7 linked regions of the Canis lupus familiaris genome follow. The protein of the gene in region 3 purifies or fractionates together with the protein of the main gene of each other region. This does not show direct contact. Links are inferred from orthologs where the notes say so. Each region holds a gene or a part of one and is shown on either strand. Other genes may lie near its edges. The genes, in order: IER2, IQGAP1, PPP2R2B, PPME1, PABIR1, PPP2R1B and CDCA4.

What was found.
Region 1: the proteins of PPP2R2B (region 3) and IER2 purify together in Homo sapiens (affinity purification with mass spectrometry; 3 studies listed by BioGRID and IntAct, with this or other methods). This does not show direct contact. The link is inferred for Canis lupus familiaris from reciprocal best matches to the Homo sapiens genes PPP2R2B and IER2.
Region 2: the proteins of PPP2R2B (region 3) and IQGAP1 purify together in Homo sapiens (co-immunoprecipitation; 3 studies listed by BioGRID and IntAct, with this or other methods). This does not show direct contact. The link is inferred for Canis lupus familiaris from reciprocal best matches to the Homo sapiens genes PPP2R2B and IQGAP1.
Region 4: the proteins of PPP2R2B (region 3) and PPME1 purify together in Homo sapiens (affinity purification with mass spectrometry; 3 studies listed by BioGRID and IntAct, with this or other methods). This does not show direct contact. The link is inferred for Canis lupus familiaris from reciprocal best matches to the Homo sapiens genes PPP2R2B and PPME1.
Region 5: the proteins of PPP2R2B (region 3) and PABIR1 purify together in Homo sapiens (affinity purification with mass spectrometry; 4 studies listed by BioGRID and IntAct, with this or other methods). This does not show direct contact. The link is inferred for Canis lupus familiaris from reciprocal best matches to the Homo sapiens genes PPP2R2B and PABIR1.
Region 6: the proteins of PPP2R2B (region 3) and PPP2R1B purify together in Homo sapiens (affinity purification with mass spectrometry; 4 studies listed by BioGRID and IntAct, with this or other methods). This does not show direct contact. The link is inferred for Canis lupus familiaris from reciprocal best matches to the Homo sapiens genes PPP2R2B and PPP2R1B.
Region 7: the proteins of PPP2R2B (region 3) and CDCA4 purify together in Homo sapiens (affinity purification with mass spectrometry; 4 studies listed by BioGRID and IntAct, with this or other methods). This does not show direct contact. The link is inferred for Canis lupus familiaris from reciprocal best matches to the Homo sapiens genes PPP2R2B and CDCA4.

What each region holds. Positions count from the first base shown.
Region 1 is NC_049241.1:49,468,279-49,472,812, forward strand, and holds IER2 (immediate early response gene 2 protein), read right to left. Parts: upstream 2,774-4,534; 5' UTR 2,575-2,773; coding exon 1,906-2,574; 3' UTR 917-1,905; downstream 1-916. UniProt on the Homo sapiens protein: DNA-binding protein that seems to act as a transcription factor. Involved in the regulation of neuronal differentiation, acts upon JNK-signaling pathway activation and plays a role in neurite outgrowth in hippocampal cells.
Region 2 is NC_049224.1:54,169,844-54,174,021, forward strand, and holds the end of IQGAP1 (ras GTPase-activating-like protein IQGAP1), read right to left. Parts: intron 3,481-4,178; coding exon 3,372-3,480; intron 1,561-3,371; coding exon 1,447-1,560; 3' UTR 664-1,446; downstream 1-663. UniProt on the Homo sapiens protein: Plays a crucial role in regulating the dynamics and assembly of the actin cytoskeleton.
Region 3 is NC_049223.1:40,433,250-40,437,427, reverse strand, and holds part of PPP2R2B (serine/threonine-protein phosphatase 2A 55 kDa regulatory subunit B beta isoform), read left to right. Parts: intron 1-1,128; exon of another isoform or gene 1,129-1,273; intron 1,274-1,398; exon of another isoform or gene 1,399-1,552; intron 1,553-1,811; coding exon 1,812-2,005; intron 2,006-4,178. UniProt on the Homo sapiens protein: The B regulatory subunit might modulate substrate selectivity and catalytic activity, and might also direct the localization of the catalytic enzyme to a particular subcellular compartment.
Region 4 is NC_049242.1:24,168,498-24,172,675, forward strand, and holds part of PPME1 (protein phosphatase methylesterase 1), read right to left. Parts: intron 2,707-4,178; coding exon 2,583-2,706; intron 1-2,582. UniProt on the Homo sapiens protein: Demethylates proteins that have been reversibly carboxymethylated. Demethylates PPP2CB (in vitro) and PPP2CA. Binding to PPP2CA displaces the manganese ion and inactivates the enzyme.
Region 5 is NC_049222.1:89,251,282-89,255,888, reverse strand, and holds PABIR1 (protein FAM122A), read left to right. Parts: upstream 1-1,344; 5' UTR 1,345-1,459; coding exon 1,460-2,323; 3' UTR 2,324-3,976; downstream 3,977-4,607. UniProt on the Homo sapiens protein: Acts as an inhibitor of serine/threonine-protein phosphatase 2A (PP2A) activity. Inhibits PP2A activity by blocking the substrate binding site on PPP2R2A and the active site of PPP2CA.
Region 6 is NC_049226.1:21,381,023-21,385,200, reverse strand, and holds part of PPP2R1B (serine/threonine-protein phosphatase 2A 65 kDa regulatory subunit A beta isoform), read right to left. Parts: exon of another isoform or gene 4,178-4,178; intron 2,707-4,177; coding exon 2,585-2,706; intron 1-2,584. UniProt on the Homo sapiens protein: The PR65 subunit of protein phosphatase 2A serves as a scaffolding molecule to coordinate the assembly of the catalytic subunit and a variable regulatory B subunit.
Region 7 is NC_049229.1:72,865,994-72,869,393, reverse strand, and holds the end of CDCA4 (cell division cycle-associated protein 4), read left to right. Parts: intron 1-46; coding exon 47-781; 3' UTR 782-2,432; downstream 2,433-3,400. UniProt on the Homo sapiens protein: May participate in the regulation of cell proliferation through the E2F/RB pathway. May be involved in molecular regulation of hematopoietic stem cells and progenitor cell lineage commitment and differentiation.

The sequences.
Region 1 (4,534 bases), on a different chromosome or scaffold from region 3:
TGTGTGGATGCAGCCGGAGGAGAGCCGGAGGCGGGCGTTCTGGGCGGGTCCGGCCGCCACCGCACCCTCCTCCTCCTTCCACCCCGGGGCCTCGGGGTCAGGTCCCCCCGGGTCGCGGGAGGCCCGAGCGCCGGAGCCAGCCGTCTGGAGGCGGGGCGGCGGCTTTCCCGGGGCCTCCCGCCGCCCTGGCGGCCCGCACCTGCGGCTCCTTTGTCCTTCCCACGGCCACCCCGCCACCCGCCCCGGGGCAACGCCTTGCGGCCCCTCTCCTACATCAGCGGTGGGTAAATGATGAGCGTTTCTCCTCTGGGGTGACTAACATGGAGCTGGAATGGAGCCAAATCCAGTAACGAGGGCTCTCACGGGCATTTCCAAATCTCCAGTCGCCCCGCGGGAAAGCTGTTTAGAGGCCTACTTCACAGATGAGGAAACTGAGGCTGGGAACTCACTTCCCGGCCTGAGTCACACAACTATACCGCTAGAGATGAGAGCAGGGGTGTAAAGGGCCCTCCAAAGCTCACCTCAGTTCCCCCCCAAGCCGTGGGGCCCCAGCCAAAGCGGATGCAGTTGGTCAAGTGGGGTGGGGTGGGGGGAGATCTGCTATCTTTCCCAAGTCCCCACCCAATTTCCCCCAGACATCTCAACCCACCTGAAGCCCACCTCTCCCCACCCCCGGAGTTTTCGAATTTCTAAGAAACTCCCAAATATGGGGGAGCTTAAGGAGTCGGAACCTCAGGGCACCCAGTACGGAAATGCTCTGGCAAAGAAAAGGGGGCCCAGCCCCATCCCGCCCACTCTGCCCACGTGATAGCCGGTCAGACCGGTTTCTGGGGCCCCAGCAAGCCGCCGCCCGCTCCTGACCCCTTAACCCTGCCCATCCCCCCATCAGGGAAGAAAACCAGACGGGCCGCAAAGACTTTATTCAAATGCTCTTTATTTTCCTATCTGGCGTTTCCAGCAAAAGGCCAGATAGATGAAATTAAACAGAATCCACCACAGTAAAGGTAAACAGACCTCAGAACGCCCTGGCAAGAATCTTCCCCTCCCCGGGCTGGCCCAGTCTCACCAGCAACTGGTCCCAGCTCAGCCTTACAGAGCTCCAAACACCCCCACCCAATTTTTGTGATTCAGACCAGGATCGTCTGGGTTGTGTCTGTGTCTGAGGGATGGTCACGCTTGAGACCGTGAACATATTCCCACCTCTAACGCACCAGATGAGAAAAATTTTAACCTGAAATTAGATCAGCCCCCCCGCTATGCACCCGAAGGCGCAGGGGCGTGGGGCACAAACCCGCAGCAAGCGGTGCGAGGTGACTCAGGACGCCCTCCTCCCATTCCCCAGGGCGGTCCACACCCCAGACCCTCCTCCCAGGCCCCACACCCACGCAAGGCAACAGGAAGCTCCCACGTCTGCCCCATGACGCAACGATGACCGCTTGCACAAGTATGTCACTGGTGGGGGAAGGGGAGCGCCTGCCTGGAATTCTCTGAGGTTGGAAATGCAAACACCAACTATTGAAAAACCTTGAAAGGGCAGCACAGCTCCCAGTAAAAACTAAAGTCCGACCCTGAGGAGTTGAAAGAACCAAGCCTCCCTGCTCCCAGTCCCAGAAGGAGAGGGAAAGGTCCACGTCCCAGTCCGTTAAGACAGCACCTGTGGGCGCAGCAGGTCTCGGCGGAAGGCGCTCGCGCTCCCGGCTCAGGCTCCTCGGCGCCGCCGCTGCGCACAGACGGCGACGGCTCCCCGGGGGCAGAGTCCCTCTTTAGGCCTCAGCAGCCCGGGCGGCAGCTCCTCTCCACGGTTTCGGCGGGCGCTCCCCCGGGGGCGGGCCTCGCCTCGGGTCTGCGCACTCCGGCCGACGCTTCGGCCCGCGCTTGGGCTCCGGTGGCGCCGCTCGGGGACCCTCAGAAAGCCACCACGGCCCGCACGAGCACGTTCAGCATGCTGTCCGCGGGGCGGCAGGCCGGCTTCGCCTCGCACGCCGGCGGCGCCGTCGGGGGGGCGGCGGGGCTGCAGTTCAGGAGGCCAGAGAAGCGCCTCTGTAGGACGCGCGCCAGGTTGGGGAAGGCGCCCTCCGCTTGCGCGGGAGGTGGCTGCAGGCGATCAGGGACCTCCGAGGAGGCTCCTTCCTCCTCCTCCTCCTCCAGACGGGCTTTCTTGCTTGGGACCAGTCCGACGTCCCCGCCGTCACTCAGGCTGCTGTTGCGCCGCTTTCGGCTGACTTTTGTGGGGCGCGGGGCACAGCGGGCTGGGGTCTCCTCCGCTCGCGGCGCCTCCCGCGTGTCCATGGGCTCCGGGGAGGTCGGCTCACCGTCGGGGGGCGCTGCCTCGGCTCCAGCTTCCGCTTCCCGCGACTGGTGCAGGCGAGGATCGGGGGAGCGGACGGGCGGCAAGGGCACCTCGGGCTCGTGGGCTTCCACCTTGGCCGAGAGGTAGAGCTCCCGGGCGCTGCGCATGACCAGCGACAACTGCAGACTCCGGTGCAGCCGCAGGCCACCGCGCTGCATGCGCGAATGGTACATCTTCCACACCGACAGAGTCATGATGCGTTGTGCCTCCTTCTGCACTTCCATGGCGGCTCGACGGCAGGGGCGAGGGCGGCGGGGACTCCCTGGCTGGGCAGGACAGGTAGCAGGTGCACTCCGGGCAAAGCGCTCGCTCACGCTTCTCCACTCACGCCAGCCCACGCCGTGACACTGCTGGGACGCTCTGCCCCGGCGCCCGCCACCCGGGCCCTTTTGTACCGAGAGTGAAGTCACCGAGACGCCCCGCCCAATCAGAGAGCCGCATCCGGGCTTCCCAACGCGCGGCGGTGAGATACTCCTTAAAGCGACAGGGTGGAATTTACCGAGTGGGGGAGAAGGGACGGGAGTCGGAGTGAGGGGGAGCGTTCCCGAGTCCACGCGGAGCGCGCGGGGTGGTCTCCTTTCTCGGGGCCCTCCGTGCGCCGGTGCGCAGGCTCAGAAGAGGGGAGCCGCGGGTGCGGGTCCGAATCCACCCACGTGCTTGCGTCTGAAACCCCAGCTGATTGTAGGCGGCAAGTTTCCCTTCGCACGGGGGAAGACCGGGTTCGAACCGGCACATCCTCCGTGGCCACAGTTCCTAGCATCTACCAGGTGTCTAATTAATGGTTTTTGAATCAGAACCTATTAATGTTTTTTGGTTGGGTAACCGTGCTAACGCTTACTAAGCACTACCCGCCGGGCGCTGTTAAGGGCTTTCCTTCACTAAATACCTCATTGATGCCTCATTTCCACTCCGCGGAGGGTACTGTTACACCTGATTTCTGCAGGTGGGGATATCGAGACAGAGTGACACTGTTCAATATTTGCTAAACGAATAAATGGGCCACTGGGGCCTCCAGCTCTTGCGTCTCTAGCGTAAGCCAACCCTCCTCAGCCCCCTTGTCTGAGGCGGTGAGGCGGCGGGCAGCGCGGCTGGCTCCAGGGCCGTAGCTGCCCGTTCCACGGGGAGTGGATGTGTGCAGACACGAGTGCAGCCCGGGCTGCCATTCGTGCGCTCCACACCGAACACCACCTTCACCTCCAGTTTCCCTCTACACGAGCTCCACGAGTGGGCTGGAGACTCGCAGAACAGAGGACCCGGGAACACGACAGTCCCCGTGAACACGTGGCAGCGCCCCCTAAGACTACATGGCCCTGCTCCGCCTCTGCGCCCCGGGCAGCGAGGCTGGGATAAAAGCTGTAAACTGAGCAACGCAGAGATAGAGCAGATAGAAAACGTCGGCCCCACCCTCCGCTACGCCCTATCGCTCCAAGAAAACCTATATCCAGTTCCTCCAAAACAAGATGCAAAATTATTCCTAAGCTCTATTCATTCGTGGCAAGGGCCCTTTAAGGGAAGGCTCCTCTCTCCCCCTCCGTCCCCTCCCCCAGCCGCCGACAGGCGGGCAGAGTCTTCCGGCCACTGGAAGCGCCAGACTTCCACGGCTAAATTTGGGTATGATGACGTAGGGCAGGCGCGCGAGGCGCTTCCGGCTGCCCATATAAGGACAGGGGCCGGAATCTCCGCTCGGAGCCGCGGCAGCCCCCTTCCGGGAGGGCGGGGGCGGCGCCTTGGCCTCGGAACACGCCCCCTCCCTAACCGTGTCGCTCTCCCGGCAGCTCCGACTGGCTGTAGGCCCCGGCTTCCGGACCGGAGTCCAACCCGGCGGGCTCCGGAGGCCAAAAAGGCGTGACGCCTCCGGGAAAACCCCCGCTGGCAAAAAGGGGCGATCTCAGGACTTTCACTGACGCCAACTCCCCGAGACCCTACACAAAGACCTTGCCAACACATGGGGCGGTTCGCTGACGACCCCTTCATCCTTGTTACCCCATAGAGACCCCACAATTGTTTCTCCCTACAAGGTTCTCCCCCAGGTATTCTTGCTTCTCCCCTCCCCGCCAAATCATGCAGCCTTGGAGAATCCTCACGCCCGGTCCTCATTTATGGGAGGGAGGGGAAACTCGACTCAACAATTACTTGCTCTTCTTAAAACTGTCCCTATTCAGCGACCCTACACACGCTCCGGCG
Region 2 (4,178 bases), on a different chromosome or scaffold from region 3:
ATAAGCCAATTTTTAAAAATCCTTTTCTTACAGTATTCTAAAGGCTTTTAAAGCATTATATAAATCTTCAAAATTCCTATCACCCACATTTCAAGAAATAAATGTACACTTTAATAAGGCACTCTTACAACATAAAACAGATTTGAGGACAATCATTTTACGTATGCTAGGGCTGGCCCCTCCTTTTGCCACGGGGACAGAGTGGACTGCCTTCCTGAACATAGCCCCCTTCTGTGCATCAATACATACAAGCAGGCACCGCAGACCACTGCAAACCTGCCTACATAGCTGGGTTTATTGATGGGACTCTCCCTCCCGCTGATGAGAGAACTACACCAACAGTACTGCTCAAATTTAATGGTGACATTTTATTTTATTTATTTTTTAATGGTAACATTTTATTTTATTTTTTAAAAAGATTTTATTTATCTATTCATGAGAGACAGAGAGAGGCAGAGACACAGGCAGAGGGAGAAGCAGGCCCCATGCAGGAAGCCCGACGTGGGACTCAATCCCGGGTCTCGAGGATCCTGCGCTGGGCCAAAGGTGCCGCTAAACTGCTAAGCCACCCGGGCTGCCCTAATGGTAACATTTTATTTTTTTTTATTTTATTTTTTTTTTTTAAAGATTTTATTTATTTATTCATGACAGAGAGAGAGAGAGAGAGAGAGAGAGAGAGAGAGAGAGAGGCAGAGATACAGACAGAGGGAGAAGCAGGCTCCATGCAGGGAGCCCGATGTGGGACTCGATCCTGAGTCTCAGGATCACACCCCAGGCTGCAGGCGGCGCCAAACCACTGCGCCACGGGGGCTGCCCTAATGGTAACATTTTAAAACTGTGTCTCCCCTTTGCTAGAAATGTTTCTTTGAACACAGAGCACTGACTTCTGTTAGCTCCTGCTTATAAAGGAAAACAGTGGAAGAGAACCAATGAGCCCCTGGATCCTTCCATTTGACCGATGGGATGGAAACGTAAAGGAATTTCACCTTCAAATGACAACTGAATGCCAGGAGATGACCTGACTTGTGAGTTGTGTGCCTTATGTGCATGTGTTATTCGTGTTGATAGATCCTACTTCCAAGTAACAAGAATTCAAGCCCCACCATCCCTGTTGCTAATTTAAACACCAAAGCTTACAATAGAGTAATGCAGCCTCTAAGACCATAACAACAGAGATTTTAGTGGAGCCTCCACTCTTTCCTAAGTGACGGAAGAAAATGAGGGGACAAGAGGGTCGGACAGCCTGAAATACAGTTTCACTATGAAGAAAGGGCAATAGACATCCCATCAGAGTGGGAGGGTTAAAAACGTGGCGTTGGGAGTGTATCAAGTTGAGGCTTTTTTGTGGCCTGGGTCTTTGCTTCCAATGAGTAAAGAAGGACCCAAGAAAGGTCACCGTGAGGAGCTTCTTTCCTTCATCCTTCTGGTCTGGTGGCAATGGATCAATTACTTCCCGTAGAACTTTTTGTTGAGGAGGAAGATCAGAAGGTTGACATTTACTTTAGCTCTATTAAATAATTTCATGACTGCGACTCCTTCATACTGTAGCTGCAGCAGGTCCTATAAAAACAACATTTTACAGTCAAACAAGTCTGTGGAATAAGAAAGGACATGATGTAGGGAGGGATCCAGAAGGAACAAGGAATGACAAATGTGAAGTGGTGTGAAAAAGAGGTGCCCAACCACAGAACGGTCCACTGCACAACCACCCTGAGACTCAAGGAATGGGACATGCTGCTCAACAGAATATTCTGGTACATCTGTATATCAAAATACACAAAACATGGAAAGAAAAAGCAGCATGTTCACTCATCACACATACTTCCTATTTCAGAGCTGACAATAACGTGTCTCCAGTTTGTCTAAGTGATGGGTCACCTGGGGAAGGGGGAGGCATTTCAATCTATGATAAAATATACTAATCACTGAAGACAGGATACAGCCACTAACGTCATCTCAATAGTATCCACTAGAGTCTTACTTTTTATTTCACGTGAGAAAATTTCTATATTTTGAAGGCAAGGGGAAGAAGGACAAAATGTTTATTAGGTGCCTCCAGTGTGCTCAACATTGGGTAGGCACATCAGATAGTGTCTTTTTAAGTCCTGATAAAAGTCCTATAGGTGTGATTATCCCGAGTTTAAAGATGAGGCTCAGAGATATTCAGAGTGGCATGGAGTGGATCTGGATCTGGATCTAGAGCCCCTGCTTCTCCCATTGCCCTCTACTGTCCAGAGCACATTTAGGAAGTGAGTAGTCTTGCACATGAACTTCAGAAGAGACAGAATGAGTCAAGGCACTTGAAAGAACCCAAAGTTCAAACAATGCAACTTCTGGAAAAATTCTAGCAGCTCCATGAGAACGAAGGCCCTGGTGTGTCACCTGTGCCTGACAGAACACCTGCACCTGATCCTCATTCTATATTTAATGCGCCTGTGCACGGATCAACATGCTACCGAGGCAGGCTGGTCGGCCTGTGCAACGCTGGTGAGACTAAAGACGTGACAGGATCTTTTTTTTTGGGTGTAAGCACCTGAGCATGTGCATCACAGAATCACTTCACTTTTGTTCAGCTAACATGTTTGAAGGTCTACTCATCACTAAGGAGGAAATGAAGACACACTACCGTGGGTCCTTAAGGAGCTCACGGTCTGGCAGGCATGTGTGCAGGAATAAATGAGAGGGCTGGGGGGTGGGCAGCAGGTGCAGAAGCCCAGCACACGTTCAGAGATGGCCCCTGCCCAGGCCCACAGAGCACAGCAGTGAGATGCAGTACAAGGAATGGGACAGAAGTGATGAGGACACACACGGAGCTGTGGAGCCTGGACAGAGCCCAGGAGGCCTTGTGGTACCCTGGTGCTTTTCTACTGCGTAAAGACTAGAAATATTTTGGAATAAAAAATAGGTTAAATTATGTTATAAATGATTCACTGCAGAGTTCTTCCCGAATTTAAAATGGGATTCAGTTTACAAAGATGCAATTTATACACATCTTGTCAGAAATACACTTTTAAGTCCCCAAAATCAAATCAAAATGAGAAAAGATTTCAAGCTATTGAATAGGTTTACAATTTTCTACTATCATTACTTAAACATTTTGTTCAACGTCAAGGTACCAGTTCAATTTAGTGCCAACACTAAGTAGTAGCTTCAGATAAAAGCTTTCAGAAGACGTCCAGATCTGCCCAAGCTCTCCAGGGAGTACAGACCAAGTCAGATGCACAGCAGCCCTCAGCTCCTTTCCCGCCTGTGTGGGCGCTGGCTCAATGCAGGGTGATCCAAACATGTGTCTTTTTTACCTACTGTCCACCCCAAAAAGAACACAACCACATCACATATAAAGTTTTCAGTTCTGTATGGTGCATACCCACCTGATAATGCAACATAAATGTCTCCATTTGAACACCCATGAACTTGGCTTTCACTTCAAAGTCTCCAACTTCTTCTGTTGGACTGATTTCAAAGATAACATTTTTAAACCTGTTGAAACATAACATCATAAGGGTGTGATTTTTTTCATTCTCATATAAAAATATTCTGTGAAATGTAGAAAGAATATTAACAATCTTCAAGGGGTGCCTGGGTGGCTCAGTTTGTGAAGCATCTGCCTTTGGCTCAGGTCAAGATCCTAGAGTCCTGGGATTAAGCCCCACGTGGGGCTCCCTGTTCAGCGGGGAGTCTGCTCCTGCCTCTCCCTCTGCTCCTCCTCCCACTTGCGCTCTCCCTCTCTCTTTCTCAAATAAACATATAAAATCTTAAAAAGAACAAAACAATCTTTCTTCAAGAGTGAAAAGGGGTACCAAATAAAGGCCCAAAACACTTCTACAGGTAGAACAGTGTGTGGCTACTACTCTAACTACCACATGCTCGGAGACTTGGGGAGAGCCGGGAACCTCTCCCTGCAGCCCTTGCATGCTGTGGGAAGAGGGACCATGGAGGAATGCCACCCTCTGAAAGGATGATGTCACAGGAATTCTCTTGGCTTTCCCCGTGGCCACTGCTTAAATCCAATGGTAAAAGGATAATCAAGGGGAAACTAGACTGGAAGGAGAGGGAGGAAAGGATGAATGCATGTTTGAGGATTGTAAGAAGTGTGTAAGTAAACAAAAAGGGGTCAGAACAAAAAGCCATGAGAGGGGGTGCCATAGATACAAATGCACTCAGTACCAAGTACCACC
Region 3 (4,178 bases):
TTAGCTGAAGCATTGTATGTATATAATTAACTCACAGGTCCCTCTGGGCTCATCTAGCTCCACTTGTGGAGTTTAACTGAGCAAGACTGCGCTGATGTCTCTCCCTGTAGTGACACCCACTGCCATGAGCACCTTCTACAAGAGGAGAATGGGGGAAATGGCTTCTCCAGCTTGGCTTTTTAGTGAGTTGTGTAGCTTCATAAAGGATTTTACTGGTTTCATGACACTAGCGATCCACTTTTCTTTCAAATACAGAATCTGCAATTTGGGGGAAACGTGGGGGAAGGCGGGGGTGGGAAATTCTGTATTTTCCTCCTGGGTGAAGTAGGGAGGCAGGTCTCTTTTTCGCCTTAATTGGATCTTTGAAATCTCAGGGTAGCAGGGGCCGTCTGTGGGCACAGGGCTCCAGCGTCCGTCCCATGCTGGGAGCAAATGTCAGCGGTTCCTGCAGGGCTGAGTCTTCACGGGCAACACCTGCAGGGGGGCCTGCGGCACTTTGTCCAAAACAGAGTGCGAAGGGCCGGGGACGGTGGACCTTTTCAGGCCGACTCCTCCGTGCACCAGCTTCCAAACTCAGCCCTCTTGCTTCCCTCTGCGGTGTAGACACAGACGCCCACGGTGAGAAGGGGATGTGGACTCTGCAATGGAGGAGTCGTAGGTGCTCGCACAGAAGTTCTGGCCCCCGCTCCCCCGATTCTATTCCTAGCACAGGAGGCTTCAATTAGGCGACGGCGGCAGCCCTTCCTCCCACAGCCTCCCCTCCCTGAGGCTTCGAACCCCAGGCCTCGCCGCTGAACTGGATGGAGGGACCGAGTACCTCCTAGCGGGTGAGCGCCAGGGACCCGGAGGTGGTGTCCCTGCCTACCCACGGGGACCTGAAGCGCAGGTGTCCGGATCTAGGCAGCGAGTTAGGGGCCCGGGGGGCGGGGGCGGGGGCGGGTCGGGGTGGGGTGCGGGGGTGCGGGGCGCGAGTCGGCGGCGCCCGGGGCCGCGTGGCCCGGCTGGAGGGCGGCTGGCAGAGCGCGCGCGCCGCGCTCCCGGGACCCCCTGCCCGCCGGCCCCCGGCGCCCAGGTGCGGGCTGGCGGCCGCGTGCGCCCCACTGCAGCAGGGAGCAGCCGCAGCCTCCGCCGCGGCCACCGGCGCGGCCGGGGAAGAGTCCCGGGGCTGCTGACGCGGTGGGGAGGAGCCTCGCCTTTAATGCACCAGCCGCCTCCAGCCTCCTCCTGCAGCAGCGGCGGCGGCAGCTGCGAGCGCGCGCGTGTGGGCGTGAGGGTGAGTGCGCTGGCGCCGGCCGCGGCGCCCTGCCCCGCTCCCCGCCGCCGTCCGCGCCCCCGCCCGCCCGAGCCGCCCTCCCGGGGCCCCGGGCCCTGCTCCCCGCCGGCCCGGCCCGGCCCGAGCCCGGCCCCTGCCGCCGCGCCACCGCAGCTCGGGGCCCGAAAGGCACCATTTTGTCGCGGCCGCCCGCTCGCCCGGGGGGAGGAGGGACCTTTTTTGCATTTTGGAGCGGCTGCCAGCGTGGGGAACCTGTTGGGCTTCTCCCCAAGCCCGCTGGTGAGCGCCTGCCGGGCGGCGGGCGGCGGGCGGCGGGCGGCGGGCGGCGGGCGGGCCGGACCCCTCGGGGCTCGGCGCATCTCGGATCTCGGCCCCGGCGGCCGCCGAGCCGGGCGCAGCATCCTCGCCGGGAACCGGAGCCGGAGTGAGCGCACCGCGGGAGGAGCCGCCGCAGCCTCGGAGATCCCGAGCGGAGGAGGTGACAGCTCCATTGCCGGGTTTTTATTTTTTTCTCTCCGCCTCCCCGTCTCCTCCTCAGGCTCGGACCATGGTGCAGTCCCTCCGGCTCCCCTGCCCCCCTCTCCTGTGAGACTGGCTGCGGGGAGGGATCATGGATACTTGTCTGCCGGCTTCTGGTTCCCACGCAAGTAAGCCTGCTGTCAATGGAGGAGGACATTGATACCCGCAAAATCAACAACAGTTTCCTGCGCGACCACAGCTATGCGACCGAAGGTAACGCCAGCCCCGCCGCATTCCGCCGCTGGGGCCGGGCGCAAGTTGCGGGTCGCTGGGCTCGGCCGGCCGCGGGCGCCGAGCGGCGGAGACTCCTCCGGGGCCGGGGCCGGGGCCGGGGCCGGGGCCGGGGCGGGGGCTCGGCCCGCGGGGGCAGCGGCCGGGGCGCCCCACACCCACCCGCGCTCCGCGAGGCCAGCCCGGCGTTCAGCAGCAGGTGGACCCGGCGCCCACGGGAGTTAAAATGGCCCTCGGGGATCGGGCTTTGCAGGGTGGGGCTCCCGACCGGAAAAATGACCGCCCCCTCCCCCGAAGGCACATGTCCCCCCCCCCCTCCCGAGGTGTTTGCCGAGGTCTAGGTGGGGAGATAAGAAGGGGGCCCCGGCGGACCTCCGACCCGAGGGCCTCCCCTCCCTGCGCGGAATGATGTTGTGTCTCAGGGGCTGCGGGGAGGGCACGGCTTCATTTCCTGCCGGTCTGTGCCTCCGGCCAGGTTACCTGCTCAGACCATCGGAACCCCGAAAGGCCCTTGGCAGAAGGGCAAGCCCCTCTCCCCTTGGCAGTGCATGAGCAAGAAATAAAAAGGTAGCTGGGGAGACGGCGTTCCAGCAGCGAGCGAACGAGTCTGACACGTGGGGCGAGCGATGCGATCAGTGGGGCCTTTAAAATCACCATTATGAATTCTGCAGCAGTAGTTTCTGCTGAATCAACAGCCAGCAGAAAGCAAGAGGGTTCAGTAAGCTGGGCTTGGCCAAGAGGTGAAATTGTCGAGGCGCTCTCTCTCTCTCTCTCTCTCTCTCTCTCTGCTTGTTCTGACGTTAGCAGGCAGGCAGGGAAGTCAGCAGGTGGAATCACATTCTGCCTTTTGTGTGTGAACAGAGAGTAAGAGGCATTTTTCTTTTTCAAATGCCAAAACTTTTGCATTTTTGCCTTCATTTTCTACCTGTAGGCCCTTATCCTTAAGCCCGCATAGAAAGTGTTGCATTATCACGTTGTAATATCCACGTGAGTAAATGTGTGTGAAAATGCCTTAGGAAAACACAGCAAGGTATGTTCATTTAGGACGATTCTTGGCATTGATGGGATGCTAATATTTCTGTAGTATGTAATCAAACCAAGACTCACAGAAAAATGCGATGGGTTTGGCAAGGTAGTAAAAGAGTTCAAACTCTGAAAGAAATAGAAAGATACAATTGTGGGGGCAAAGGTAGCATCTTCTATAAACGTCCCAGTAAGTTTTAGGTTAAAAAAAATGCCTAGTGAATATATTGAAAATATATTCTTCATTCATCATCATTTTTGGAGAGCATCCAGCCTAATATGTCCATGGTGCTAGACAGATTAAGCAGACTTGTATGAGCTCTGGCGTTCAGGAGCTTAGAGGTGGCTTTTAAGAGATGTTCAGCGTGTCCCTCCCCCATGCAGGCACCATACTTGCCTATTCTTTTCATTTGCAGGATGACAGGGTGGTGATAAGATGTTCTTTCTCAGTCTCAAGTGCTTTGTCACTGACTCAGTTACCAGGTAGATTATGACTACCTGTGTAGTCTCTGTGTCTCAGCATGTCATCCAAGAGAGAAGTTGGCCTTAGGTCTATTGGTTTTTCCGGGTGATACTTCTTTCTGTTTGTGACAACAAAGAAAGAGGGCTGCCTTCGTGTTTTCTTCTAGATTGCATTATGCCTCCAAGCGCAGGCACAGGAAACTTACTGAGCTGGGAAGATGGGCAAATTGGGACCGTGTGTATAGGGGTATCATCTCCAGAATGAAGAAATGAGTTAAAATGGAATTCCTTAGTGCTTTGGGGACCCCAGGTACTGCACTGATTGTTGTTCCTGTTTTATGGCATTTTTATAGACTCTGATTTTGGTTAAAATAACTGGGTTCATGTAGTCAAAAATGAGGCATGAGTTTATAGCAGACAGCTCTATAAAATCTTTCTAAAGAGTCAGCCTCTCAGAACGTTCTGTCTCTCTCTCTCTCTCTCTCTCTCTCTCACACACACACACACACACACACACACACACACCATGCCGAAAACGAAACAAAACCTTTATTTCTTAGTATGCCTTCAAGTTTCTTTACCTGATCTTATTGACAGTCTGGGAAGAAGGAAAAAAAAAATGGAACTTGGACAATGTAAATAGCAGAAGTTGGGCAGAGCTGGAAGTTCT
Region 4 (4,178 bases), on a different chromosome or scaffold from region 3:
ATGGCCCCTGGCTACCATGCTTTAGAAGTTGTGACTTTGTTGTTGTAGTTGCTAAGTTTAATTTGCATTATTAATATTTTCTCCATAATTTTACTTTTTCTTTATTGAGATATAATTAACTTATAACACTGTGTAGGTTTAAGGTGTACAATGTGTTGATTTGATACATTTAGACATTACAATATACAACACCATAGCGATAGCTAATACCTCTATTATGTCACATAATTACAGTTTCTTTTTGTCCTAGGAACAATTAAGAACTAGTCTCTTAGTAACTTTGAAGTTTATAATATTGTTGCCTGTAATTATTATGCTGTACATTGGATCTCCAGGATCTATTTATTTACCAGTTGCAAGAAGTTGTTTGTGTTGTTTGGGGTTTGCGCCCTTCCTCAAAGGTAGACTGTTTCAGTTGTACTCCCTATTGCCTGATGTGTTTCAGTCTGCCCTCCTAACAAAACTGCTGGAGTTGACTAACTCCATATAACTGGGCTTATAAAAAAAAATTACAAGGAAAAAATAAGCAGAAATTAAAAACCAGAGGATCTGGGTGTGTTTCAGCACCAACATTATAGGTGTCTGTAGGCAAGTAACTGTACCTGAGTTGTAACTGCATCTACAGTGAAGAGCTAAAATGAGAACTAGGGATGATAAATATGATATACTTAGTATAGCTCCCAGTACATAAAAGGCAAAAAAGTAATTGACAGTTTGTATCAGAATCTTAGATCTACTAAATATTATTTCATTACCTTGGGCAAGTCTCTTCATCTCAGAGTCTCAGTTTCTACACTGTTAACATGGGAGAAAAGATCTCACCTCACAGAATGTACGGAGGGCAAATTAATCATGCACTGTTTATATTTTTATAAATTTCTAAGAGGTACACAGAATTACTTATTGATCTTAAGGACGACAAAAAGATCTTCATTAAATTAAAAATTCTGGGGATCCCTGGGTGGCGCAGCGGTTTGGCGCCTGCCTTTGGCCCAGGGCGCGATCCTGGAGACCCGGGATCGAATCCCACATCAGGCTCCCGGTGCATGGAGCCTGCTTCTCCCTCTGCCTATGTCTCTGCGCCTCTCTCTCTCTCTCTCTGTGACTATCATAAATAAATAAAAATTAAAAAAAAAATTAAAAATTCTGTTTAAAAAAATGTACAGTTGATGCTTAAACAATATAGGTTTGGACTGTGCAGGTCCATTCACACATGAATTTGGAAACAGTACTATAAATGTATTTTCTCTTCCTTGTGATTTTCTTAAGAATATTTCCTTTTGTCTAGCTACTTTATTATAAGAATACAGTATTTAATACATATAAATATACAAATTATATATTAATCAACTAATTATATTATTGGTAAGGCTTCTGGCCAACAGTAGGCTATTAGTAATTAAGTTTTTGAGTCAAAAGTTATAGTTGGTTTGGGGTTTTTTTTGAGATTGTATGAGTGTGCACGGTGAGTGGGGGTGTGTGCAGAGGAGCAGGAGAGGAACAATTCTAAGCAGGCTCCACACCCAGCACAGGGCCCCATGTAGGGCTCAATCTCTGACCCTAAGATCATGACCTGAGCTGAAATCAAGAGTTGGACACCAACTGAGCCACCCAAGTGCTCCAAAACTTAGAGTTGGATTTTTGACAGTGTGTGTGGGGGGTGGGGGAGGGCACGGTGTCAGTGTCCATAAGCCCCGTATTGTTCACGGGTCAATTGTCTTCTCCTCCTCGCGATTAGTAGCATCTCCAAACATCAAGGAATATCTGGTGTACAACAAGTTGATTACTTGCCATTTGTAAGATGTTTATAATACATCCCAGAAAGTCTGCTGCTCATGCTCACGCTCACTAACCATTTCCCCAAAAAAGCACCCTTTCCCACTACTATCCCCAGATCAAGTGTTCAACAAGTATGCACAGAACACTTGTGAAGCACACCACCCCCAACCTAATGCTGAGGGAAATTCATATAGAACATTAGTTCCTGTGCTCAAAATACACAGGTTATTTTTGCTGGGTGACAATTCTTGTGCAATTAGAGGACACTGAATCTACATTCTAGAATGATTACAGGAGACCATAGTATCTTAGGATGTGGTTTATGAAAATTAATTCTATGACTTAGCCACAACTTCAAAAAAGAAAATGCTAAGTTATGTTATACAGATTCAGTGCTATACTGGAGATAGACTGATGTAAAATGAGGTCAGAAAACTTCTCCAAAGAGATCCACCTTGAAAGATGAATAATATCTGATGGGTTTAGCATAGAAAGTAAGAAATCAGATTTTTCTCATGAGATAAACCATAGGAACAGAAGTACCATCATGGGAAAGAATCTGATGAGAGAGCAGTCTGTTTAAGGGTAGGGTATATAACTGTAAGTTTATGTTTCAGTTTGTCAGAGCTATCAACAAGTGCCTTATATCTTATAGTTAACCTAAATATCTATGATGATAAGATCTTCACCCCCTAAAATATCTAATGGTGAACAAAAAGAACATGTCACCTCCCCTTCCGCACCCCCACACACTCTGAACCATTCATTGCCCCATCCTTCCAAGAATACCAGTTTTCACTCACCTCCATGTCATCTTCCTTTTTCCTCTTGTTTACAGACTCACTTCCTTCTTCGTCTTCTTCTTCTTCCTCTATGATACCTTCCACTATAGATTTTGAGCCTTCTGGACTTGTAATTCCTTCACACCTAGATGGTTTTTTTTTTTTTTTAAAGTTCCATCACACATCTCATCTCTCTTTTATACACAATTATCTCAGAGATACTGATACTTATAGTCTTTACAATCAAATGTCAGTTAAAACTTAACAATGCTTCTGGGAGAAGGAGGATGTGAACAATGTGCATTTTAAAATGTGCAGAAATAGATCAGGGCTGTGGAAGGTCATGGTCATGGTCATGGACTATATTCCAAAGGCTGGTTTCCAGTTCTTGCACCAATACTGACCCACAGAAGGGAATAATCATTTCCTGCGGCATGGTGACAATATATATATTATCTTATATAATCCACATAATAATCCTATGAAGTAGCCCTGAAAAGTAAAAAAAAATTGTCCAGGATCACCTTGCTCATTAGCAGATGAGGCTGGAAGGCAAATCCAGGCTTAATTAACTTGAAAGCATAGTACTTTTCTACTGTACCCTGCTTCCAGTAGAATAAGGCTCAAACAGCTTGGTAAAATGCCCCTACTTTCAATTAGCTGATAGAAACTGATAATTACAATAACCAGAGCCAGCTGAACCTTGGAGATTAGAACATCTGATCCAATCAATTACTGTTGTTTTTTTCCTCTAAAAAAAAATCTCTATTATATAATTAGGTAGAAAATATTACTATATGAACAGTTGATACCATAATTCCTTTTAGAAAGAACTTGCTGGAAAAAATACACTGGCAATATTAAAGGTAAAAATCCCAAGAACCTAGGTAGCAGCTAGTGCCAAGTTCTGTTCTGCATGATAAAGAATTTGTTATTTTGCCCTTGAAAGGGAGAGAGAAGGGAGAAGAGGACAGAGAAGAGGCAAGATAAAAAGAGACTGGGATAAATTGAAGGGTCAGTGAAACTTCAATGGTGGATTTTTAACAGTGATAACTTGTCCTTCCTTGTCTCCTCTATCAGTCTCAGTAAAGTGGTGTGTTCATGAAATGTTTTGTCAGGTGGGGGTTTTCTATGGGACTTGAGGTGTCAAGTTTCACATCTAAGATCAAGGTAGTATAACAAAGAAACAACTTGTGCTTTGGATTTCCACAGCTATGGATTAGGAAATTCAAGAGAATTTCACCTAGATCAAGAAGGGCAGGAAGGTTCCACATGATATCTAGGTGACAATTAAAACACACACTATATACATAAGTTTACATATTAAGAGAAGATATACTTAAATTTACATACTAAGTAAAATTTTTAAAATTGCTGAACTACCTGAATACAAGCCATATAACTTCCTCACAAAATGCTTTACCATTGATTCAACAAATCAGATCTCAAAATATTTGGGCATTGAAAAGCAGGCAGTCTCATAGCTTATTCAAAGACTACACTGTGTCTGCTAGATATTACTCAGATTGAACATTTAAGCATAAAGTCCATAATATAGGCCCAGATGTCAAATACACAGGAGACTGAATCTGAGCTGTCATTCACTAGCTGTGTGAT
Region 5 (4,607 bases), on a different chromosome or scaffold from region 3:
TGATCTTTAAAACCTAAACCAAAAGAACACCACTCTCCTGCTTTAAACTCCCCAGTGGCTTTTCATTGTACTTGGGATGAGAGATCCAGACTCCTCTGCGCCCTCACAACCACTCTCCCCCCTGCCCTTTCTTCTCTTGGCGCCAGCTCACCAAACTGACATGTCTAGGGCTTTACTAGCACGTGCTGTCTTCTGTGCTTAGAGTATGCATCCCCCAGATGTCAGCGTGACTTGCATCTGGAATTTAGATCTCCGTCCTTTCTAATTGCCCGCCCCCCCTTTCTATCAGTAGTGCTCTATCACACCATCTTTTTTTTTTCCCCCCTTTCCTAAGGTTTACCACGATCTGAAAACAGCTTTATTTATTCATCTCTCTCTTTCCTTGCAGTAGAAATGAAATGCCCTCCTATTAGGGCCTCCTTCCTACCAGTGCTTAGTGCATAGTAGGTATGCAAAAACAAAACAAACAAAAAACCCCAAACCGTGATTTTCATGATACCAAAATTTATGTTAATTGCCTAAGCTGAGTGTTGTGTTTTTAGAGCGTGAAGCCCTCTTACTTTTGCCTCCGTTTAAACCCTCGTAGGGAATGAAGATGATCTTGGAGCACACATGCTCGTGCTGGAAACGGGACTAAATTAAGAGGGCTCCAGGGACAGGCTGGCTTTCGCTCCGGGGCCTCAACAGCCTCCCCCTCTCACCCCCCACCCCTGCTTCCAGGACTGCCTCTCCTCCGGCCTCCCTCCTGCTCCCTCCTGCTGCTTCTCCTCTCCCAACGACCCCATTCCCTGCAGACAGCAGCCTGCAGGCTTCGCTGCGGGGGTTACACCCTTTCCTTGACCCCACCCCCCCACCCCCCCCACCCCCGGAGCTTTCATTGTTCTTAGGATCAGGGCCCGGGCCACCACCTCCACCTCCGGCAGGCCAGCCCCCCCCCCTCCCCCGGTCCCCGCCGCCCACCGCGCTTCCCCTTCCTGGACGCCCCGCAGCCCGCTCCCGTTCCGTGTCCTCCGGAGGTCAGGAGACGGCCCCTTCCTCAGGGAAGCCCTCCCTGCTTAGGCCAAGCTCCGCTCCCCTTCGTACGGCCCCCGCATCGCCACCAGCCTCTCTGTCAGAGCTCTGCTTTGCTACACCCAGACTCCGGGGACTATGGTGACCTTCGGAAGCCGCGTCGCCGCGAGCTTGCGGCTCGGTAGTAGTAGCTAATTGCGGAAGAAAAGGGCTGAACGGCCGCCGCCGGGCCCCTCGGCGCCCCTCCCCCTCGGGCTATGACGCATTAAGCAGGCGCCGCGCGGAGAGAAATCTCAGGGCGCCTGCGCGGAGGGGCACGCATGCGCAAGAGGACGAGCCCGCTGACAGATTGGCGGCGGCGGCGGCGGTGGCCCCAGCCCTGGCCCTGGACCGCGGGGAATGGGAATCCCAGGTCTCTGAGCGCCGCCCCCGCCTCCCTGCCCCCGACATGGCTCAGGAGAAGATGGAGCTAGACCTGGAGTTGCCTCCGGGTGCTGGCGGGAGCCCGGCGGAGGGCGGCGGCAGCGGCGCGGGCGGGGGCCTCCGGAGGTCTAACAGCGCCCCCCTGATCCACGGCCTCAGTGACACTTCGCCGGTGTTCCAGGCCGAGGCGCCGAGCGCCCGGCGGAACAGCACGACGTTCCCGAACCGCCACGGCCTGCTGCTGCCGGCCTCCCCGGTCCGCATGCACAGCAGCCGCTTGCACCAGATCAAGCAGGAGGAGGGCATGGACCTCATCAACCGAGAGACCGTCCACGAGCGCGAGGTGCAGAACGCCATGCAGATAAGCCACTCCTGGGAGGAAAGTTTCAGCCTGAGTGACAACGACGCGGAGAAGTCCGCCTCCCCGAAGCGCATCGATTTCATTCCGGTGTCACCAGCGCCGTCACCCACCCGGGGGATCGGGAAGCAGTGCTTTTCACCATCCTTGCAAAGTTTTGTGAGTAGCAATGGATTGCCTCCGAGCCCTATTCCCAGCCCAACGACTCGGTTTACTACCCGGAGAAGCCAGAGTCCCATCAATTGCATTAGACCAAGTGTTCTTGGACCACTGAAAAGAAAATGTGAAATGGAAACTGAGTATCAGCCAAAGAGATTTTTCCAGGGCATCACCAACATGCTTTCTTCTGACGTTGCACAGCTGTCAGATCCTGGCGTGTGCGTATCGTCTGATACCCTTGACGGAAACAGCAGCAGCGCCGGATCTTCTTGTAACTCACCAGCGAAAGTCAGCACTACCACCGACTCTCCTGTGTCGCCTGCCCAAGCGGCCTCTCCATTTATTCCAGTAGATGAACTTTCATCTAAGTGATTCACCCTCCCATCCCGAGACTCGTTGTTTTCTGTTTTTGTTTTTGTTTTTGTTTTTTTTTGCAATGGAGAGAAAAATCAAGTTGGAGCAAGCACTGAACTTTGTCAATTAATTTGAGGCTATTTCCTATTCGACCCTTTCCTTTTTTTTTTTTTTTTTTTTTTTTGGAATTTCCTGAGATGTTGTTACTCTAGAGAACTTTTATGTCAGGTTCCTGCGGGTGCCCTTGAATTCAGTGTAGTGATATTTTCAGACGTTTTCCAATAAGTGTGTTGAAGCATACGTCTTTATGCTGCTAATATGTTTAAATACATATGTTATCCCTTGATTTTTTAAAATAATCGAGAGCTCTATTTATTTATGGGATTATTAAGTTCTGATGCAAATATAAATGTTGAATTAATCAGTATAGTAAACTGATGTTTTAAAATTCCATATTTCATGCCCACACTAATTTTTGATGTTATTTTTCCAGTGGTCGCTAATTTCTATTTGATGGAGGATAACCTAGTTACTTACAGCGGTTTTTAAAAATATGTTAGTTATAACATAGTGATCCAGTGGTTGTCTATTTTACCCAGGAATCCTCGGATATTTAATTTTCTGGGTACACAAGTGGCTGTGAGGGGGGAATGATAAAAACAAAATATAAAAGTTTGCAACAAGTCTTTTTAAATTAACTATATAAAAGTAAACAAACGCATTTTCTAATGAAGTTTTAATAGTAATTCTAATAAGTCATGCCAATATAACTACAGAAAAGTTTAAAAATTTTTTCTAGACCAGAAAGTGCATTCTCTTGGGTATAATCCTGAAGGGACATGGGACAGTGCCTTGCAGTCTTAGCCCACTGTACATAGGCTGAGACCAGGTCCTTTGTACCACTGCAAACTTAAAAGTTTCTCAGATGTAGAGAATGTGGGAAGCCCTGTTGAACTTCACCAGAGCACCCAGGCAGATAAAAATCTCTCAATCATTGATATGCTTTAAAATATCCAATTGTGCCTCAGTGAAAATCCCTGCCAACAAGGAGCCAGAGCAACTTTTGGCTGCTTTTCTGCTCTGCCCATCTGTTACCTTCCTGGTTTTCCCTGGCTCAGGAAGGAAGCCGCTGTTTCCTTGCCAACAGGTCCTTCCTCTCCACCTCCCACCAAACTAGGGCATCATCGGTTAGACAGAGGTACAGTGTGACTTGGATTTCCGACAGTGAGCAACAACAGAACTGTGGAATTGTTGCAGGAACCTGTGTAGTTAAAGCCACAGCTGGATTTGACTGCCTTGGGGATGCCAGTTGATTAAGGGTCAGTGACTTGAAAGAGAAAAAAAAAAATCAGTGGAGAGTCACATAGGTAAATCGTTATTTAACTTAGATTTTGTTAAAGGTAGAATTGTGAAATGTTCTTTTCTTTGCCTTTTACAACTAAGACAAAATATGAAAATATTTAATAACAAATGTTTTTATATTATACCTTCCTATATCTTCCTTTACTAGATAGGTAGAAAGAATGGCAGACAAAAAAAGGGGAAGAAATAAAAGAGACCAAGACAAAAAGCTCCGGCTTTCTTTAAGTAACTGCCTACAGAGACTTTAACAATTATGTGGAATTTTTTTTTACAACTACGAGAATAAATGGAACTAGTCAACTTTTGAAAGTTGCCTTAAGAGTTCAATGAAACTATGTTGAGGGTAAGATTGTGTCCACAGGCTTAAAATTCTCTGTTCTGGGTAATAGTTCATGTGTGCCAGTCCTGACCTTGTTCCTCCAGTATGTCCAACTTCCTGTTGGGTACCTTGATCTGCTTCCAGACGTACTGTAACCTCAGCATCTCCAAAACAAAAGTTAGTATCTTTTCATCGAACCTGTTCTTGAGTTACCTAAATTGATGTGCTCGCTGATTTTCTAAACGAGAAACCATAGAAAGCGTTTTTGACTTTCCCCTTTTCCCTGTCACATCCAGCGTGATCACTCAGTTCTGTCTACTGAAGTGAACCTGAGACCTCTCCGCTACACTGCTTCTGTTGCCTCTGATTCAGCTTAGGTTCCAGCCTAAGTGATTTCCCACCTCCCCTCTGGCCTGGTCTTCACCCCACCTCTAAAGTGATCTTTCTGATATATAAACTTGATTTTCCCCCCTCCCGCTTGAAAACTCGATGTGCATCCTCATTTCCCACGGTGTAGGGAATGCTTTCTGTAACCTGGCATATAATACTGTCCTTCGTGAACCGGGCATATTGTAAAACAGCTTCACAGCTCTGCTCATCCTACCCCGACACACATCCTTC
Region 6 (4,178 bases), on a different chromosome or scaffold from region 3:
CTCCGTTCTGTCCTCAGCAAAGGCCTCTCCCCTCCCAGCATCCAGAGCCAAACTCCGTAGATGGCCCCAGAAGCCCCCCGACTTCTCTCAGTGGCGGGGGGCAGGGGGGGGTCACAAGGACAAGCAGCCCCTCCTCACCCAGGAGCTGAGACTCCTGAGCCACACAATGTCCCCCATCCCCCCACTGCGGGCTAGTGGGAGCACAGGGGACAGAGGCCAGACATCCTCGGGGCCTGTATGGCTTGGAGTTTGGGGAAAATAAGTAAAACTGAAAAAAAAAAAAAAAAAAAACCCAAGGGCGGAAAGAAGCAAGGGGTGCAGGAGGAGAGGAGACTCCTCGGCCGGTGTCTGCAGGACAGGCGGCTGGACAGGCGGCTGGATGGACGGGAGCGGAGGAAGGGGGTTCGGCCCCACGGCGCCCACAACCGCTATTTACGGATGCTTCGCCTGATGCGAGTCCCCAGACCTGCGCTCGCGGGGAGACTGAACGTCCCTCACAGCTGCTCCTTCCTGCAATAACAGGACTGACATCACTGTTGTCAGGGAAATGGTGTTTTGATTAAAATCATGTGACAGCTACTTCGTGATTCAATAAACAAATCCCCTGTTAACCCTCGCCTGACAGGCCAGTGGCAGCTCCCTCGTCAGAGGCCAGGAGGGTGGCCACGGGGGGTGGGGGGATGGGAGGGTGAGAAGGGGGGGGCCAGCCGCGCCAACACCACCAATGGGCAGCTGAGTTGCCCTGGGCCTGCGGGGGCTCAGCAGCGCTGCTCCCTGGCAGGCCCCGCGGGAGCTGGCAGCTCTGCAGGCCCCGGCAGGCCCCGGCAGGCCCCGGCAGCGCCCCCGCCCTAACTCTCCCTTCGGGGCTGCCGGCCCTGACTTCCCGCGGCTCCCAGGGCCCCGACGAGCGACGAGCAGCGGCTGAGGCGGGTCCAGGGCCGCGACAGGGACAGTGAGCGAGGGGTTAAGAAGGATTCCTGGTTCGCTCTGGATGACTTCCTGGATCACTCACTTGGCGCCTGGCCCCTGACACGCAGGGCCCTGCTGGCAGCACTCCGTCCCCTCCCTCTCACCCGGGCCACTTTCCTAGGGTCACACAAAGGCGGGGAAGGCAGCCTGAGGGTCAGGCCAGGGGGTTCTGGGTTAAATCGTCCACAGCCTCAGGGGCCTCCCGCGGGCCGGGAAGCCCCAGAAGGCAGAACAGGACTGGGGGGAGGTTGGCGCCCCGGGAAAACCAGCGCCTCCCACCCAGGGCTGTGAGGACCGACTCGGCCACCAGGGCCGGTCCCCAGCTACTCCAGGCCCAGGTCAGGGGCGACAGGCACCTCATGGCCCGGCCAGGCGGCCCTGAACTTGTAGAAAGCCCCTCACACCTTTCTTCCCAAGCAGGGCTGCGGGTCGGGCCTAAAAATATGCGACTATCATTCCTGCTCCTTCAGTGAAGGGCTCCTCCCAGGCCGCGCTCCGTGACACCCAAGGGCTGAGGGCTCAGGCGCGGGGCCCCCCAGACCAGCCCCGCGGCACCTCGGCCTGCACAACAGGAAACCGTTCTCATGGCCTCAGTTTACATGAAATGAAGGGAAAGCCACGGGGCCTTAGAACAAGCGTTTCGATGTCAGAGCCTTCACCAAGCAGCCCCACCCCTGCAGGGCGAGTGCCGGCGTCGGTGCAGCGGGGCTTCCCTGGCCCAGCGGACGCTCACACAACACGGGCTGAGCCACGCGGGGGCCACGGACGGGGTCACCCCACAAACACAGTCCTGCCGGTGTATTTCTCCTAGGATTTTCTTAACACGTGCTCTTCTCTCTAGCTGACTGGATCGTAAGGGCGCAGTATGGAACACACACACCATACAGTGTGCGCTCACGGGCTGTTGGTGGTGTCAGTAGGCCTCTGGTCAACAGGCTATCAGTAGCAATGTTGGGGGGGGGTCAGAAGTTATATGCAGATTTTTGACTGCACCAGAAAGGGGGGCAGTACCCCTAATCCACGCTGTTCAAGCGTCAACTATATCTGTGAGCCCCAGGCACCCTCCTAACAGCCCCAGGGCTGTGACCCATACCAGCTCCAATTAACAAACAATGACGCTCAAATTCAAAACGTTTGCACATCTTCTCTAGAGTGGCATCAAATGGGGCTTTGGACCATTACCCAGTAAAAGTGACAGGAATGGTTTTGTCCTTGAGCGGACAGGACCACCTGAGCGGAGTTGTAGCAAATATGGAGGGTCTATAGTCTCTGAGCTTAGTGGAAATAACCCATTTCTGTAAGAGCTCTTCCCCAAGCACCCTTGTCCGGTGTGTGAGCCTCGCTGTCTCTGAGCGGGGCGGCGGGGGGGAGGGGGGACCCCGAGCCACAGGAGTGACAGAGCTCCGAAATGCCCACCCCTCAGAAATACTCTCAGGACGAAGGACAAGAGAGAGGACAACAGGCTTTAAAAATATACTCTTGGCCCTAAAAGCCGGCCTGTCTCCGCAGGGAGTTAGGGCGCTGCTTCAGTGGCTACCTGCCGGAATGCCAGGCCACAGCGACCATGTCCACCTCAGCCCCCAGAGGAAGGGACCCAGGTGTCAACAGCACTTACCTTCCCGGTGTCCTCTCCAGGCCCTCTGGGTCTCAGGAAGTGGTTCTTGTCAGCCCCAGGGCCGCTGGGCTCCTCACTGTCCTTCACAGGGAAATCTAGCTTCCTCAGTCTCTGGGCCACCGCTAGAGATACAGACAGCAGTCCAGTAACGCCCCTGACCCTGACCCCCTGACCAGGGCACGGCCCTCCTCAGCCCACCTGCGCCTCCCAGGCAGGACGCCCCCAGGTGGGCAGAGCACAGGAACCTACAAGCGTGTGGTCCCCTGGGCAGAGAGAGCTGGTTCGCCCTAGAACCTTCCTGAAAGTGCCTTTCCCTCGAGCGCCATGGAAAGTGTCAGCTCGGGGCTCCCCCGCATCTTGGTCACTGCCTGCCTACACACCCCCAACCAGGCAGAAAAGACCTGGATCCTTCCAGAACTGGTAATATCAGCCTCAGAGAACTCTGGAGAAATAAACTACTTGGCTTTTCTACCCAATGAGTAATTAAACTCATCTTCCAGATTTCCATCTCAACTGAACATTATGTAATTTCCTGGAAACAGCAGGTTCACGGAGACAAACGGGCAACAGTGAAACCACCGCGGGTACGAGGACGGGAGACATGTGAGTGACCAGGAAGAAGGGGCAAGGAATGGAGGCAGGACACACAACAGAGGGAGACTGTCATAGAAGCACAGAGTACCCATCACTTCAGCCTTAAAGTGAGGGTACAGCTCCGTCTCCCCTCAGGTTTCCAAGCAGAGATGACAGAGGAGACTCCAAGAGAAGAGTGCCAGGAGGAAAATCAAGTGTTAGAGGAATTTAAGTAAAGGCAAGAAGGAAGAATTAGCATGCAGTGCATTTGGCCACCCTGCCCACCATCCCTGGGTGGGACACAGCCACTGTGACTTCTGCAGGAAAGCACCAGATTGTCAACTCTGTGGCAACACAGTGACTAATACATAAGATTGCACCAAGAAAGCATTGCTGGAGCTCCACCACTGGCTCAGGAATGACAGGTCTGTCTCCCCAGAAGGCCTATGCAAGGATCGCAGATGCTTGGATGAGACGGCTCACAGGTCAGGCTGCCGGGCTGAGTCAGAACAAGCCATCCAGCAAAGACCCCTGAGGCCTTGGCTCCCAGTGGCCAAGCTGTGGCATTTCTGGGAGCTGAGGACTCTGACTTCAACAAGCCCTCATTGAAAACCAGACATTAACCAGGGCGTCCTTATGAAACAGGACGTACCTTCAGGTTCCTGTCTTCTTGGCAGCACAGAGGAAAAAGATCTAGTCTCTCAAACCTGTGACAGGTCAAACCCACGCAACATAGGAAGAAACACTAAGGTGGATTCCAGGGTTGAGGAGCCCTCTTTATTGGCATCAGCTTGCTATGTAGGTCTCCACTTCACTTTCCTCATCAAGCAAACAGATGCCAACGTACATCTCAGGCAGCCATGTAAATCCCCACAGAACCGTGGCCGGAGCAGGGAACATGAAGAAGGATGACCCAAAGCTTAAGGGCTGCAGAATCTTTCTGCTGTGCTGAGGGAGAATGGGATGTAGTGTGGTACCTTCGATAACTTGTTCCCGCATGTAACACATCAGAGGGACAGAT
Region 7 (3,400 bases), on a different chromosome or scaffold from region 3:
TGGGGACTCTGCAGTGTGCTAAACGGCATCTCCTTGCTTTCCACAGGGCACGATGTTTGCACGAGGGTTAAAGAGAAAAAGCGCCGAGGACGGGGAGGACGTGGAAGGAGGCCTGGCGGGCACCCAGGCCACGCCTTCCTACAGCCTGCAGCGCCAGTCGCTCCTGGACATGTCCCTGGTCAAACTCCAGTTGTGCCACATGCTGGTCGAGCCCAACCTCTGTCGCTCGGTCCTCATAGCCAACACGGTCCGGCAGATCCAAGAAGAGATGACCCAGGACGGGACCTGGCGGGTGCTGGCACCCCAGGCGGCAGGGCGGGCGCCGCTGGACCGCCTCGTGTCCACTGAGATCCTGTGTCGCTCGGTGCGGGAGCAGGAGGGGGAGCGCCCTGCCGCTGACGTGGGAGATGGCCGCACGCCAGGCCTGGTCCCGGGACTTTCCGCGGTCCCATCTGCACAGGCCCTGCGGAGCCCGCAGAGCAGCCTCTGGGAAGTGGACAGCTCTCGAGAGAACAGAGGAGGCTTTCAGAAGTCACTAGATCAGATCTTTGAAACGCTGGAGAGTAAGACCCCTGGCTCTGTGGAGGAGCTGTTTTCAGACGTGGACAGCTCCTACTACGACCTGGACGCGGTGCTCACGGGGATGGTGGGCAGCACCCAGTCAGGCCACGGCAGTGGGCTCCAGGCCTTCACCGCTGCGGCCACCCCGCCTCCCGGCTCCAGCTGCAGGTCGGATCTGGGCGAGCTGGACCACGCGGTGGAGATCCTGGTGGAGACCTGAGAGGGCCCCTGTGCCCCGATGGGACACTTCACGGATGGGTTCGTAAGGCGTCCAGAGTGGCCGGGAGTGCTCGCTGCCGTGCATCTGCGAGCTCAGCGCCTGGTTTGTCTGTGATGAGGAGAACCTTCCAGAACAACATCTAGTCGCCCTCTCCCCTTTCTTCCTGAAGGGGCTGCGTGGTTTTCCATTGGGCTGGTCACCCAGGCCGGCCGCTGGTGTCCTGCTGCAGCTCCGTGACCAGCCTGGTTTAACTTTAGATAGGTGAATTTTTTTAAATTAAGTTTTATATGTTTTGGGCAATATTTTGTCTTAAGATATATTTTTTAAACTTTTTATACTTTTATCTTTTTAGATTTTTTCAGCTATTTTCTTAAAAGTATATTTTTTCTATAAACATTTTCTGCTGCTACATTAGAAACTTATAACCTAAACAGTTGCAGTCGGTGTATTTCTTTTTATAAGGTTTAAATAAGGACTTTTTTACACGAGGCTTCACTATGTTCTGTGTAGCGTACCTGGATCATGAATTTTCTCTTTATGTTGGCGTGAGCCTTCTCCACGTCCTGTTACAATTAGAGCACCTTGCGCTGCCCCACCTCTTATTCTTGAGTGTCATTACCAGATCTGCTGTGCCAGCCATGTCTCCAGTGTGGATCTCGGAGGGTTTTATTTATGCCTATTTATGTGTCAGTGTTGGAGGCGAGGGTCTCCGGCCCCCGGGGGCGTCAGGCGGTGCCTTCAGGGGCTCTTGACTCCCGGGCCCCCTCCTGTACGTGCCCTGCCACCGTGGAGGCCCCTGACTGGCGTGGACATTGATCAAGGGAAGCGTCATTAAAATGCAGTGAGGAGTCCGGGGGGCTCTCCCGCTGTCCCACTGGACATCAAGGATCGTAAGTCACTGGCCCAGCAGGAGAAGCTTCGGCCGGAGAGTTGGTTCCAGGCCCCACGGGAAGAAACCCACCAGAAACGGCCAGAGACGAGTCCCTGTCATCCTGGACTCCCACTTCTCGCCTGTGGACTTCTGTTCAGAACAGCCCTTCCAACTTCCTCCCTCCTCCATAAATAACGTTCCTCTCATTTGTTGGCCTTGCCTCTGGTTCTGCCATAGTGGGTTGCGATTCTCTTATTCCTGAATAAACCCATTCTGCTGGTAAAACGGTCAACACTCGCCTGGCTGCTGGACCCACGTTTACTGGGCTGGCGTGCACAGGCTGCTGGGTGCCCGGTGTGCATGGGAAGGGTGCTGTCTGGGTACCGCGGGCCTGCAGAGTGCCACGCTTGCTCTGGGACGCTGGTGCTGGGCAGAACTTCAAGGTTAAGTCTAGAATTAAATTTGGACACTCACTACATGTGACCTCCCAATCCTGGGGGCCGTTGGTGGGGTTGGTGGGGCAGGGCCACCTAAGTGGGCTCTGGGGTACCTGCGCGCGTGACCCCGTGACGCTGTCCTGGACGCTAGGAACACTCAGACCTTTATTTGTTTCACTGGTTTACATGTAAGACCGCACTCTCTCCCCACTCCTGCCCCACTCCTGCTTCTGCCTTTCCTTCCTTACCCAGCCCTTGGCCAAAAAGACCTGTTTCTTTCCAACATGTGACCTTTCTTTAACATCAGCCATGTATGCGTCTCTTTATTAAAAATTATCCATCAGGGATCCCTGGGTGGCGCAGCGGTTTGGCGCCTGCCTTTGGCCCAGGGCGCGATCCTGGAGACCCAGGATCGAGTCCCACATCAGGCTCCCGGTGCGTGGAGCCTGCTTCTCCCTCTGCCTGTGTCTCTGCCTCTCTCTCTCTCTCTCTGTGACTATCATAAATAAATAAAAATTAAAAAAAAAAAAAAATTTTAAAAATTATCCATCAAACCAAATGGAAATGTGTTCTTTATCAGCTGCATCATAATTCTCCAGGGGATCTCTTTTTCCTAGTTCAGTGCGGCCGCATTACCCATTGCACTTGGGTGTGTTAAGTCAGCATTTTGCCGACCACCCACACTTTGTGGTTCTGCACCCACCTCCCTGCCCCAGGTCTTGGGCTGGATTTGGGGACGGTGCCCTTGGAGGAGCCAGGACCAGGCTGAGACTTCCACCCACTGCCTCCTTCAGGTTCCATAGGTTTTTCTTGTGGAAAATAAAGTATTTTTTATAAGGTATAACCTGAAGTGGTGTGAAAATCAGGACACCCTCTAGAATGGCATCAGGGGGAGCACTCAGCCCCACCACTCACTGACCACTGCAGACCCCACAGGAAGATGCGCCCCTTGCTCCTGGACACACTGCTACCATCCCAGCAGGAGGAAGGAAGGTTTCCTCCTGCCCTGGCAACAGCCCAGCCAATGGGAGACTGTCTCGCCCCAGGCAATGAGAAATGTCTACACTCCAAGCTCCCAGTTTCCTCCAATGGACTTGCTGTTTACAACACGCCCCCACCCGCCCCATCAAAGAGCCTCTGCTTTGCTCTCAGGACTGTGGGTGGCCTTCCTGGGGCTCGTCCTGGATGGGAGTTCTGTTATTCCCAGATGCATCCACCTGCCCGAGGGAGAAGCGTGGGCTTACCATCTGGGGGACAGACTTCATGTCTTTCAGGGTCACATTCTGTGTCAACATCTGGGCGCCCACCTGG